Schizosaccharomyces pombe: one gene and its partner. The protein of the gene in region 1 binds, or shares a complex with, the protein of each later gene. Each region holds a gene or a part of one and is shown on either strand. Other genes may lie near its edges. A codon is read from its position in the direction of its gene.

Region 1 (5,089 bases):
CTTGATAATCTTTAAGATACAATGCAATTTGTTCGTCAGGTAATTGTAAAACTGATTCTTGGGTAGTACTTTCGAGCGCGCATAATCTAATCAAATACTCCAGTAAAGTTAAATTAGGTTGATCTTTTATAGTCGATGGAAAGGAAGACTTTTTCTTTGCAACGGATTCTTGTTTTTTGATGCCTAAAAGCTGTAGCCTAGCAGCTTCAGAATCACTAAGAGATTCTGCAAGTTCATCAGATTCGTCTAATGATTCATTAGGTATTGATACCAAAGGAAGTGCTTCTAAAGCTATCCAGTTCGAAGGTGCTGTATTTGAAGAATACTCTGTTTCATCATCTGCATACTTGAGTAATAATACGGGAGTTTGTACATCATCTAACCGAAGAAGTTTACCGGACAAACTAAAAAAAAGCGTGCGCACATCATTTAGTGAAATGGTTTTGGTGACAGGAGTCTCATCTTCATCATGGTAACGATCATCATCAAAAGATTGTTTTAAAGATAAAGCATAGGCTAGAACCGTATCCTTGGACTTCAACCGTTGAGGAGGCATGCGAAACATTTTGGCGATACAAACAGGCATCTCTTCTTTCCACATGACTAAATCATTGCTTATATAACCAGACTTGGCGTGGTTATCTATAATTTTATAAGTTCGCAGGAAAAATGTGGGGCCAACTTGTAAAGGTTCATTTCCAGTAAATGCAACATTCGCCCTATATATGTATGAATTAGCTCGTAGAAGTTGGGAAAATGAAGTAGATTTTGGAAGAGAAGATGAAATAGAAGCACCAGAAGTAGTGATGGACAGATTTAAGAGAGGAACTGCATCATTAATTTTGAGAAGTAAAGTTTTCATTTCACGAAGAATAGACGTATCAACGTTCTTCTGCAAAGTTTCTTTTTCTGAGGAAGGCGGAAATTCCGAATGAGCGGCGCTTAAAACATGCTTGGTGAATTGTTCGATGTCAGCGTGCAAAGAATCCACTAATTGCTTAGTACTCTTAAAATTTTCATTTTCACCGACTGACATTATTTCAATTAGTTCGATAGCAGGCGTCACAACTCGAATCATTTCAAGCAGTTGAGTTTTCACAGACTCCAATTCACTTTGATCATCTGCAGAGGCACGTTTAATATAGCTGCTAACTTGCTGAACAGCTAATTTTCCTGCAAATGATATACTATGTTTCAACGCGAAGTTCGTAGCAAATGTCGCAGCATGAGAAGCTACATTAAGTAATTCATCCATTTCTAAAAAGGCGGCTTTAAAAAACACAAGAGAAAACAAGGCTAAACAAATAAATAATGGTCATTCAAATTGTATTTATTCCTTTTAACAACAAATTAATAACGAAATAAAAAGAAGCGTAGTAAATTGAGAACCAAATAGAACTTGCGCTAAGTCATAGTGATATGTGGAGGATAGAAGTTTAATATCCAAACACGCCTATAGAATTTTGTATAAGGAAATCCTAAAGTGAATAATTATATAATGGATTTACATATTGAATCTTTTGGAACTTGCTTGGTATATATTTTGAAGCTGTAACGCTGATTCATCGTTTCTTCCATGACAAAATCCTTGCAGTGATTATTGGTGACAATGGAGACTAATTAACCAATAGATTTAAAAACTTTTGATTAATTGTTCAACCCAATAGCTAATAAATGTTGTGTTTGGTATTAAGCCCACCGAAGTTTCTGTTTTTTATCTCCCAAGGCAAGTCAATATATTTTACCTGTTTAAGACAATAATAGCGTATTACTGAAGAAAAAAGCGAGAAAATGACCAATTTACAATTCAGTTGCTTCCGATTTTACAACCAAATGTAAAATTAAACTCAAATATAATATTTTATGAACTTAACTGAATTACTATAGCACAAGCTTATATAAAGGATGCTAATAATATCATCGTAAGTACTCGTAATATTATATTATAAAAGAATACACAGTGTATACTGTGGTGTAAATTCTCTTCAACATCACCGTCCCTTTACCACATATTTTAATAAAGGCAAAAAATGGCTAGTAATCAGCCAAATAACGGTGAACAGGATGAGCAACTCGCCAAGCAGACTTCTAAACTGTCGATGTCTGCAAAGGCACCTACGTTTACGCCTAAAGCTGCTCCCTTCATTCCTTCTTTCCAACGTACGTTTTTTAATTAGAACACCATCCATATGTCTTGAGATGATTGCTTGTTTTAAGTAAAAAAATTATTAACTTCTTGCTAGGCCCCGGATTTGTACCTGTGAACAATATTGCTGGTGGTTATCCTTATGCCCAATATACAGGCCAAGGACAAAACAGCAACTCGCCACATCCTACGAAGAGTTATCAGCAATACTACCAAAAGCCAACAGGAAACACTGTTGATGAAGATAAAAGCCGTGTCCCTGATTTTTCTAAAAAGAAGAGTTTTGTGCCTCCTAAACCAGCAATTCCCAAAGGAAAGGTTTTGTCCCTGGGTGGAAACACCTCTGCTCCTAAGTCTACAAAGCCCATTAGCATCAGCCTTGGTGGAACAAAAGCTCCTACAACTACCAAACCAGCAGCACCTGCTGCACAAAGCAAAACAGAGACCCCTGCACCCAAGGTTACCTCTGAGTCAACAAAGAAGGAGACCGCTGCTCCTCCTCCCCAGGAAACTCCTACAAAATCTGCTGATGCTGAACTAGCAAAAACACCCTCTGCTCCAGCAGCGGCTCTTAAGAAAGCTGCTGAGGCAGCTGAACCCGCCACTGTCACTGAGGATGCCACCGATTTACAAAATGAGGTTGATCAAGAGCTTTTGAAGGATATGTATGGAAAGGAACATGTCAATATTGTTTTTATAGGTCATGTTGATGCAGGAAAGTCTACCCTGGGTGGTAATATTCTTTTCTTGACTGGTATGGTTGACAAGCGTACTATGGAGAAAATAGAGAGAGAAGCTAAAGAAGCTGGTAAAGAAAGTTGGTATCTTTCTTGGGCTTTGGACAGCACTTCTGAAGAACGTGAAAAAGGTAAAACCGTTGAAGTTGGTCGTGCTTACTTTGAAACCGAACACCGTCGCTTTAGCTTGTTGGATGCTCCGGGTCATAAAGGTTACGTTACAAACATGATTAATGGTGCTTCTCAAGCTGATATTGGTGTTTTAGTCATTTCAGCGCGTCGTGGTGAGTTTGAAGCTGGTTTTGAGCGCGGTGGTCAAACTCGTGAACATGCCGTATTGGCTCGTACACAAGGCATCAATCATCTAGTTGTCGTTATTAATAAAATGGACGAACCTAGCGTTCAGTGGTCGGAGGAGCGTTATAAGGAATGTGTCGATAAGCTCAGCATGTTTTTGCGTCGTGTCGCTGGATACAACTCAAAGACTGATGTTAAATATATGCCCGTTTCTGCTTACACTGGTCAAAACGTTAAGGATCGTGTTGACAGTTCGGTTTGCCCGTGGTATCAAGGTCCATCTTTGCTAGAATACTTGGATTCTATGACTCATTTGGAACGCAAAGTGAATGCTCCATTCATCATGCCTATTGCCTCCAAGTATAAAGATTTGGGTACCATCTTAGAAGGAAAGATTGAGGCTGGTTCGATTAAGAAAAATTCAAACGTATTGGTTATGCCAATTAATCAAACCCTTGAAGTTACAGCCATATATGATGAAGCTGATGAAGAAATCTCTTCTTCTATTTGCGGTGACCAAGTTCGTCTCCGTGTCCGTGGTGACGATTCGGATGTCCAAACTGGTTATGTTTTAACATCCACTAAAAACCCAGTTCATGCTACTACTCGTTTCATTGCACAAATTGCGATCCTTGAGTTGCCTTCAATTTTGACAACTGGTTATTCTTGTGTAATGCACATTCATACCGCTGTCGAGGAAGTTTCATTTGCCAAGTTGCTCCATAAACTTGACAAAACAAACCGCAAAAGCAAGAAACCCCCCATGTTTGCTACCAAGGGTATGAAAATTATTGCAGAGTTGGAAACACAAACTCCGGTTTGTATGGAAAGGTTTGAGGACTATCAGTATATGGGCCGTTTCACTTTGCGTGATCAGGGTACTACGGTTGCAGTTGGCAAAGTCGTAAAAATTTTGGATTAGGGTAATTTCGGCAATTTTCTCGTGCTCGGGATTTGTTTCTATGCAAATGTATGACACTTTATGGTTCTACTGTATATAATCCAACTAGGACAAAATGGGATTTGCTTATTTTTTAGTTGGTGGACTAGCGGTATGGTAGAAGATGTATATCTAATCGTTATATACGCGTATTACTATGCCTAATTTCAATGCGATGGGTTGTATATATGAAGAATAATGGACATTCACTCCTTTACACCCTATTCACTTTGAAATTATTTACTTTTTTCGTACAGAATTCAATGCGAGGAGTAGGTCAGCAAATAGTAAATAAGCAGTTGCACTTTGCAGCTATGGAAGGGTGAAATGTGATAATAAGTTGTTGTTTTTTTACAATCCATATTAATGATTAAAACTACACTTGAAATCTTCATAATATTGTAAAATAATAGTTTATTTAAATCACTAGATATACTGAAATTTATTGTGCTACTACACCAAATCTTACCGAATAAATACCGAGGTGGATCATATTTACAGTAATCCGATCATTCTACCGTTTACATTCCACCAGCATTTCTGTACCGTATCCGAATTTCACGTACTCTTTTGACGTTGCTTGGTTTTAAGAGTAAGCATTGAAGTGTTGAAAGGTATAGTTTTTGCTATTCCGTTTAGGAATACGGGACATTGACGTTTTGAGATGACACTGCTGGAGCTCCAAAAAGAATGTATGGTTATTTGTGCTGGTGTATTACTAACAAATAAGTGTTTCTTAGCAAAATTAATTCAGTAGAATGTGCTACGAAGGTAAGAGATGGAACCCGTGAAACTTATAACGTGCACTGAAATGTTTACTGGGAATTTTGATTTGGATATTGTTTAAATGGAATTGAATTTGTGAATATGCAGCATATTATTTCCTCCGACATATTTTTTTTAAACTATCAAAATTGGCCTATTTCTAATTTGGAGCCGTTCAGTTTCACATCTTTGGCTTTTGGTTTG
Region 2 (4,769 bases), on another chromosome or scaffold:
TAATTTTTTGCAAAAGCGGTTTGATACTATCAAACTTGTATTCTCCTGGAACGGAAGGTTTGTTCAAGGCATCCAATAAAACAGCGGAATTGTTTTCAAGTAATTGAAAATCATTTTCGTTCCACATAGCAGCTGTTTTTATAATTTCGGACAAGCCATTTATGACTTGCCGGGGAGGTAAGGTATGTAAAAAGACCATATCAACATACACTCTAAGAGGTTGCCAAAAAGCACCAACAAGGTTTTTTCCCAAGGGAGTGTCAATACCTGTCTTCCCTCCAATAGAAGAATCAACCATAGCAAGCAAGGTGGTAGGCATCTGAATAAAACGAATGCCACGCATGAATGAAGCAGCTACATATCCCACTAAATCACCAATAACTCCACCTCCCATAGCAATAAGGATGGTATCTCGTGTACAGGATTGTGTGAGCAACCAATCTTCAATTTCCGCTTTCATAGCTCGGCATTTTGAAGATTCTCCAGGAGGAATCACATAAGTAAGCAACCTTGCTTCAGCCTTGGCATCTTTAATAGACTTATTAAAAGTACTTTCAATCTTTTCCAGGTAAAGAGGTGCAATATTTGAATCTGTAATTACGACGTATGTCGAAGACTTGAAGTTTTCCAGAATTTCAGTGCATATATATTGATGTATACCAAATCCAACTCTCACAGTATCCTTTCCGAGTATAGGAACTGTAATTATATTAGATTCGTTTGACATCTTGCAGAAGATTATAGTATTGCAAGATATATGCTACTTGCTAAGGACAAGCTTCTATTTGTAGATTGCGACAAGATACGACCGTAAATCTCGTTAATGCTAAAATTCATGAGAGCTCAAATCACAAACTAAATCAATCCTAAATACTTATTTAATTGCTAAACTTGCAATTTTAGAAATATTTAAACTTAAAATCGTAAGAGATGCAATATACTTACTGTTCGAGAAATCAGTATGATGCTCGGCATTTTAATTAATATTTTCCCAAATTTGCGGACAGCAGTGAAGGCAGCTAAAGAAAAATATTAGCCTACCGCTAATTTATTTGAAAAAAACAAAAAGAATAATAGTACGACACAACTTATGAAGGAGAAGAAGCGAGTGAATTTACATAGTCTAAGAAAAATAAGTCGATAAGATTTATAATGGCAAACCTCAAATATCACTAAGCAACCAACAAAAGATAGTAACTCAAAAAGATTAAATGACAATCGGTAAATACAAATCACGCTTAGTTTATTATATTACTTTTAAGGGGAAAATTAGTCGGAGTCGGAATAAAATTCATCAGATTCAGGATCAAGCATGGAGAGATCAAGCTGGTAACGCATAACAGCACCAATACCACCAAAACCTTTGACAAATTGCATACCTTCCTGAGATCGGTCAGAAACAAACTCTAAGTTAGCACCGTAATCCTTGTAATGTTCAGCAAGCCATTCAGAGAGTAGCATAGAGCTTACTAACTCCATTTCAGCACCTGTATCCTTATCTAGCAAGAACGAATTGGTAGAATCCTTTTCCTCTTGCTCCTTAGTCATATATGTAATAACAGGATTACCTTCTGAGTTCTTAAACTCATAACGGATCATATCAAGGTCTGCAAAACACAGAAGTGTTTCTACGGCACCTTCCTGAAGTGCATTCATAGTATCAACGACACCAAAACAGTATTTACCCGAATCTAAGCTAATTTCGTCGAAAAAGCGTTGTATCAATTTTTTCTCTTGGACATATTTCACATTTGACAAAGTATCAGCAGCCAATTCTATAGCCTGGTTAAAACCAGCGTCGCCACCGTACGAGACGTCTACAGTCTTGATAATACGAGATTGAAGACGTTGGTCAAACAAGTCACTTTGACCGAGTTCCGTTTTAAAATCAGCAGAACCAGCAAGAACAATACCCGCAACATTAGGTTTATCATCAGTAATAAAATGCTGCACAGCACCTTCAGCAACCTTTCGAACATAGTTGTGACGTTTTTCATCACGTAAACGGGCAAAACGAAGAGCAGATTGACCACCACGTCCATGTTTTTTAGGTAAATCGACAGTGAATCGTTGTAAAACCTCACGAGCACTACCAGAAACAACACCATATAAAGTTTGATGACCGTCCATAACAATAAATCCGAAGCGTTGATCACTTTCAAGCAATTCTGCTAAAGCTTCAGTATGAAATTTATTATCACAAAGATATTGCGAAGTATTAATTGGTTTGAAGGGTTCGAAATCAATGTTGAGCTTGCGTGTCTTATTGCCCTCCATTATAACTTCACCGCAGTAAATGACCAATCCATTATCAGGGACTTTATTGTACAATTTCAAACGCTCACGAGTTGAAGTAATTGCAGATAGAACTGATAAACGATTCACACGAGATTTAATGTTAGAGGCAGTGCCATACTCTTCGGCAAGCATATTGCTGTATCTGGATATTTGTTCGCCAGGTGGGATAATTAACGTAATCATTGAGGTGCCGTTTCCATGACAGTTAATCAATTGTTTTACCAAACGGCGAATTTTCCAAATTTCGATAGCTTTCTCAGCAGTCTCACTCATTTTGTAAAATTTGTTTTAAAGTTTTTTATACCCAAGGTTCTTGTACACACTATGAAAAATCCGAAAACCGAAATCCTATTTTTTTATAACTTGAACAGACAGTTCAAGCAACGAATTACCTCTTGTACTTCGTTTTTGGTAGTTGGTAGGTTTTTGCCTACTGAAAGGTGACGGCCTATGAAAACTTTTAGCACGATACATTTCGTTAACTTAGCTATCGTATTTGTATTTATTACAGTATTTCAATAATATACAAAAAAACAAATAATTTTTTGGAGGTAAAATATTAGTAAAATTGAATCACTAAACAATTCGACTCCAAGCGGCTGACAAACATTCAACCAATAGTTTAGAAGCTCAGTAAAAGGAAACGAAGACATAAGAACATTAGACGTCCTTTTTCCATCGGAGAGCATTTTAAAGAAAGAAATGATATTTAGAAAAAAAAAGCAAATGATTTAGGAAATGAAATAATAGAGGTCTAAAAATTGTAATTGAATGTCAGTGTTTTATCTGTCAAAATATTTCAAACCTAATAGTCACGTTGTAATAAACGACACGATCTCGTAATCAGGTTTTTATCGAACACGAGTAAAAGCGGTATATTTTGAGTAACGGTAATAAAAACTTTTTAAGTAAAAAGAAACAAAGTCTATTCTCTTATGCAGGCTTGAAAAAATTTTGCAAATTAAACATAAATAATAACCAACACAAAGGGTTTAAGACTTTGACAGACTATCGCGCATGCTTTGAGAACTAGCACTAACGGGATTATGAGTCATAGGGAGGATGGTAGCAGGATCTTTCTGACGTTGCTGTTGAGATTTAGCAACGGCATAAACAACACCAGAAATAAAGCCCAACAAAATAGCGGTAACAGATCCAAAAGTGATGGGTGCATCAAAAAACACTAAACCGGCAATAGCCAAGGGAAGTTTGTTAAGAGCACCAACCATACTATAAGTTGTCGAAGAAGTTACGCGTACACACCAGGCAGAGGTGTAAGAAATTCCTACTGAAGAAACACCACTAATAGCCATAGCCATTAGAACACCAAATTTGGCATCAGGAGGGAAATTTTGAGCAATGTTTTCAGCACTCCAGTCCTCAGTAAAGAGCGTGCAGATAACCAAAACAGGGATACTGAGTAAGTTGTTATAAAACATGGTATCAAAGTCACGAAAGTTGGTAAGTTTGATACGCTTACGCATCGCGAGAACAAAAGCAGCATTTGTGAGACAGTTAAGCACCATCCATAAATAGCCAGAATTTAAGGTTTGGGAAGCAAATGAGGAAGACTGGATGTCTGCCCAAGCAGCGACAATAGAAGAAAGAACCATTAATCCAAAAGAAAAAAGAGTTAAAGCAGTAACATGCCCGCCAAACCAAAGGACCTCACCATAAGCAATGATAATAATAGTTAAATTCTTAAATATAGTGTACACTGGAACAGAAAGAAATTGCAAAGCCTTCGATGCAGTATAAATCATAGCTACCAATAAAAAGGAAATAGGAAACCAAAATTTGGCCTCACGAAAATCAAAATCCCTATAATTAATAACTTTCAAACGTTTTAGTATCCCAATGGCTGCTACACAAACAGTGGATTGTACAGTCAAAAGGAGAAAGTTCATATTGTAACCAGGACTCGAAAGAACATATTTATTGGTCAAAGTCATCAATATGGAAGCCATGCAATATGACACCACTGGAAGAATCGGTGATTTACTAATTCGGTTTAGCATATGATTATCCATTGTTGTTGGAATTTCGTGATGGCTCCGGTGAAGTTGTCTACATACCTACCCACCATGTTTGGAAGGAGCGCGTACGTAACAGGCCTTACCCTTCCTCAAAGACACAGTCCATTGGTAACAAGTTTTGGCATACAGATTGATTAACATCTCTGTTGATCAAACTTAAATAACTTGGTCTTCTCATATAAAATATAATTATTTAAATACTTTTTTGTTCATCTATAAAAGAGTATTTTCGCCTGCAAGCCACACTTAATGTTACACCAATTCATATGTTTTACAACAAAGTATGAGCATTTACTGTAAAAGCTGTGTTTGAATTGTTGTGAAATTCCTTAGTGTATGAAGATCGTTTTCCAGTCGAAGTCGATCATATATAAAGTCGCGATGCAGATACATATACAATTTAAGCATTTGTTGGAACTAGAGAGGCAAGGGAAT

What was found.
Region 2: the proteins of sup35 (region 1) and erf1 are in contact, whole or in part, in a crystal structure (PDB 3E20), measured with the Schizosaccharomyces pombe proteins. Residues at the interface, in NP_588225.1 of Schizosaccharomyces pombe: Ser571 (codon at 3,824), Ile572 (codon at 3,827), Leu573 (codon at 3,830), Thr574 (codon at 3,833), Thr575 (codon at 3,836), Gly576 (codon at 3,839), Tyr577 (codon at 3,842), Ser578 (codon at 3,845), Met611 (codon at 3,944), Phe612 (codon at 3,947), Asp647 (codon at 4,052); in NP_594680.1 of Schizosaccharomyces pombe: Gln285 (codon at 1,719), Phe288 (codon at 1,710), Ile291 (codon at 1,701), Ser292 (codon at 1,698), Tyr298 (codon at 1,680), Phe300 (codon at 1,674), Gln396 (codon at 1,386), Met399 (codon at 1,377), Gln400 (codon at 1,374), Lys403 (codon at 1,365), Gly404 (codon at 1,362), Phe405 (codon at 1,359).

The regions. Positions count from the first base shown.
Region 1 is NC_003421.2:1,533,423-1,538,511, forward strand, and holds sup35 (eRF3-like class 2 translation release factor sup35), read left to right. Parts: upstream 1-1,976; 5' UTR 1,977-2,030; coding exon 2,031-2,160; exon of another isoform or gene 2,161-2,194; intron 2,195-2,243; coding exon 2,244-4,102; 3' UTR 4,103-4,589; downstream 4,590-5,089. Other genes in the region: SPOM_SPCC584.03C (GTPase regulator), read right to left, coding at 1-1,255; SNARE-binding protein Sec1, read left to right, coding at 4,785-4,812, 4,851-4,891. UniProt on the Schizosaccharomyces pombe protein: GTPase component of the eRF1-eRF3-GTP ternary complex, a ternary complex that mediates translation termination in response to the termination codons.
Region 2 is NC_003424.3:4,689,729-4,694,497, reverse strand, and holds erf1 (cytoplasmic translation release factor class I eRF1), read right to left. Parts: upstream 2,719-4,769; 5' UTR 2,572-2,718; coding exon 1,270-2,571; 3' UTR 760-1,269; downstream 1-759. Other genes in the region: multifunctional aromatic polypeptide Aro1, read right to left, coding at 1-727; GDP-mannose transporter Vrg4, read right to left, coding at 3,291-4,328. UniProt on the Schizosaccharomyces pombe protein: Component of the eRF1-eRF3-GTP ternary complex, a ternary complex that mediates translation termination in response to the termination codons. The eRF1-eRF3-GTP complex binds to a stop codon in the ribosomal A-site.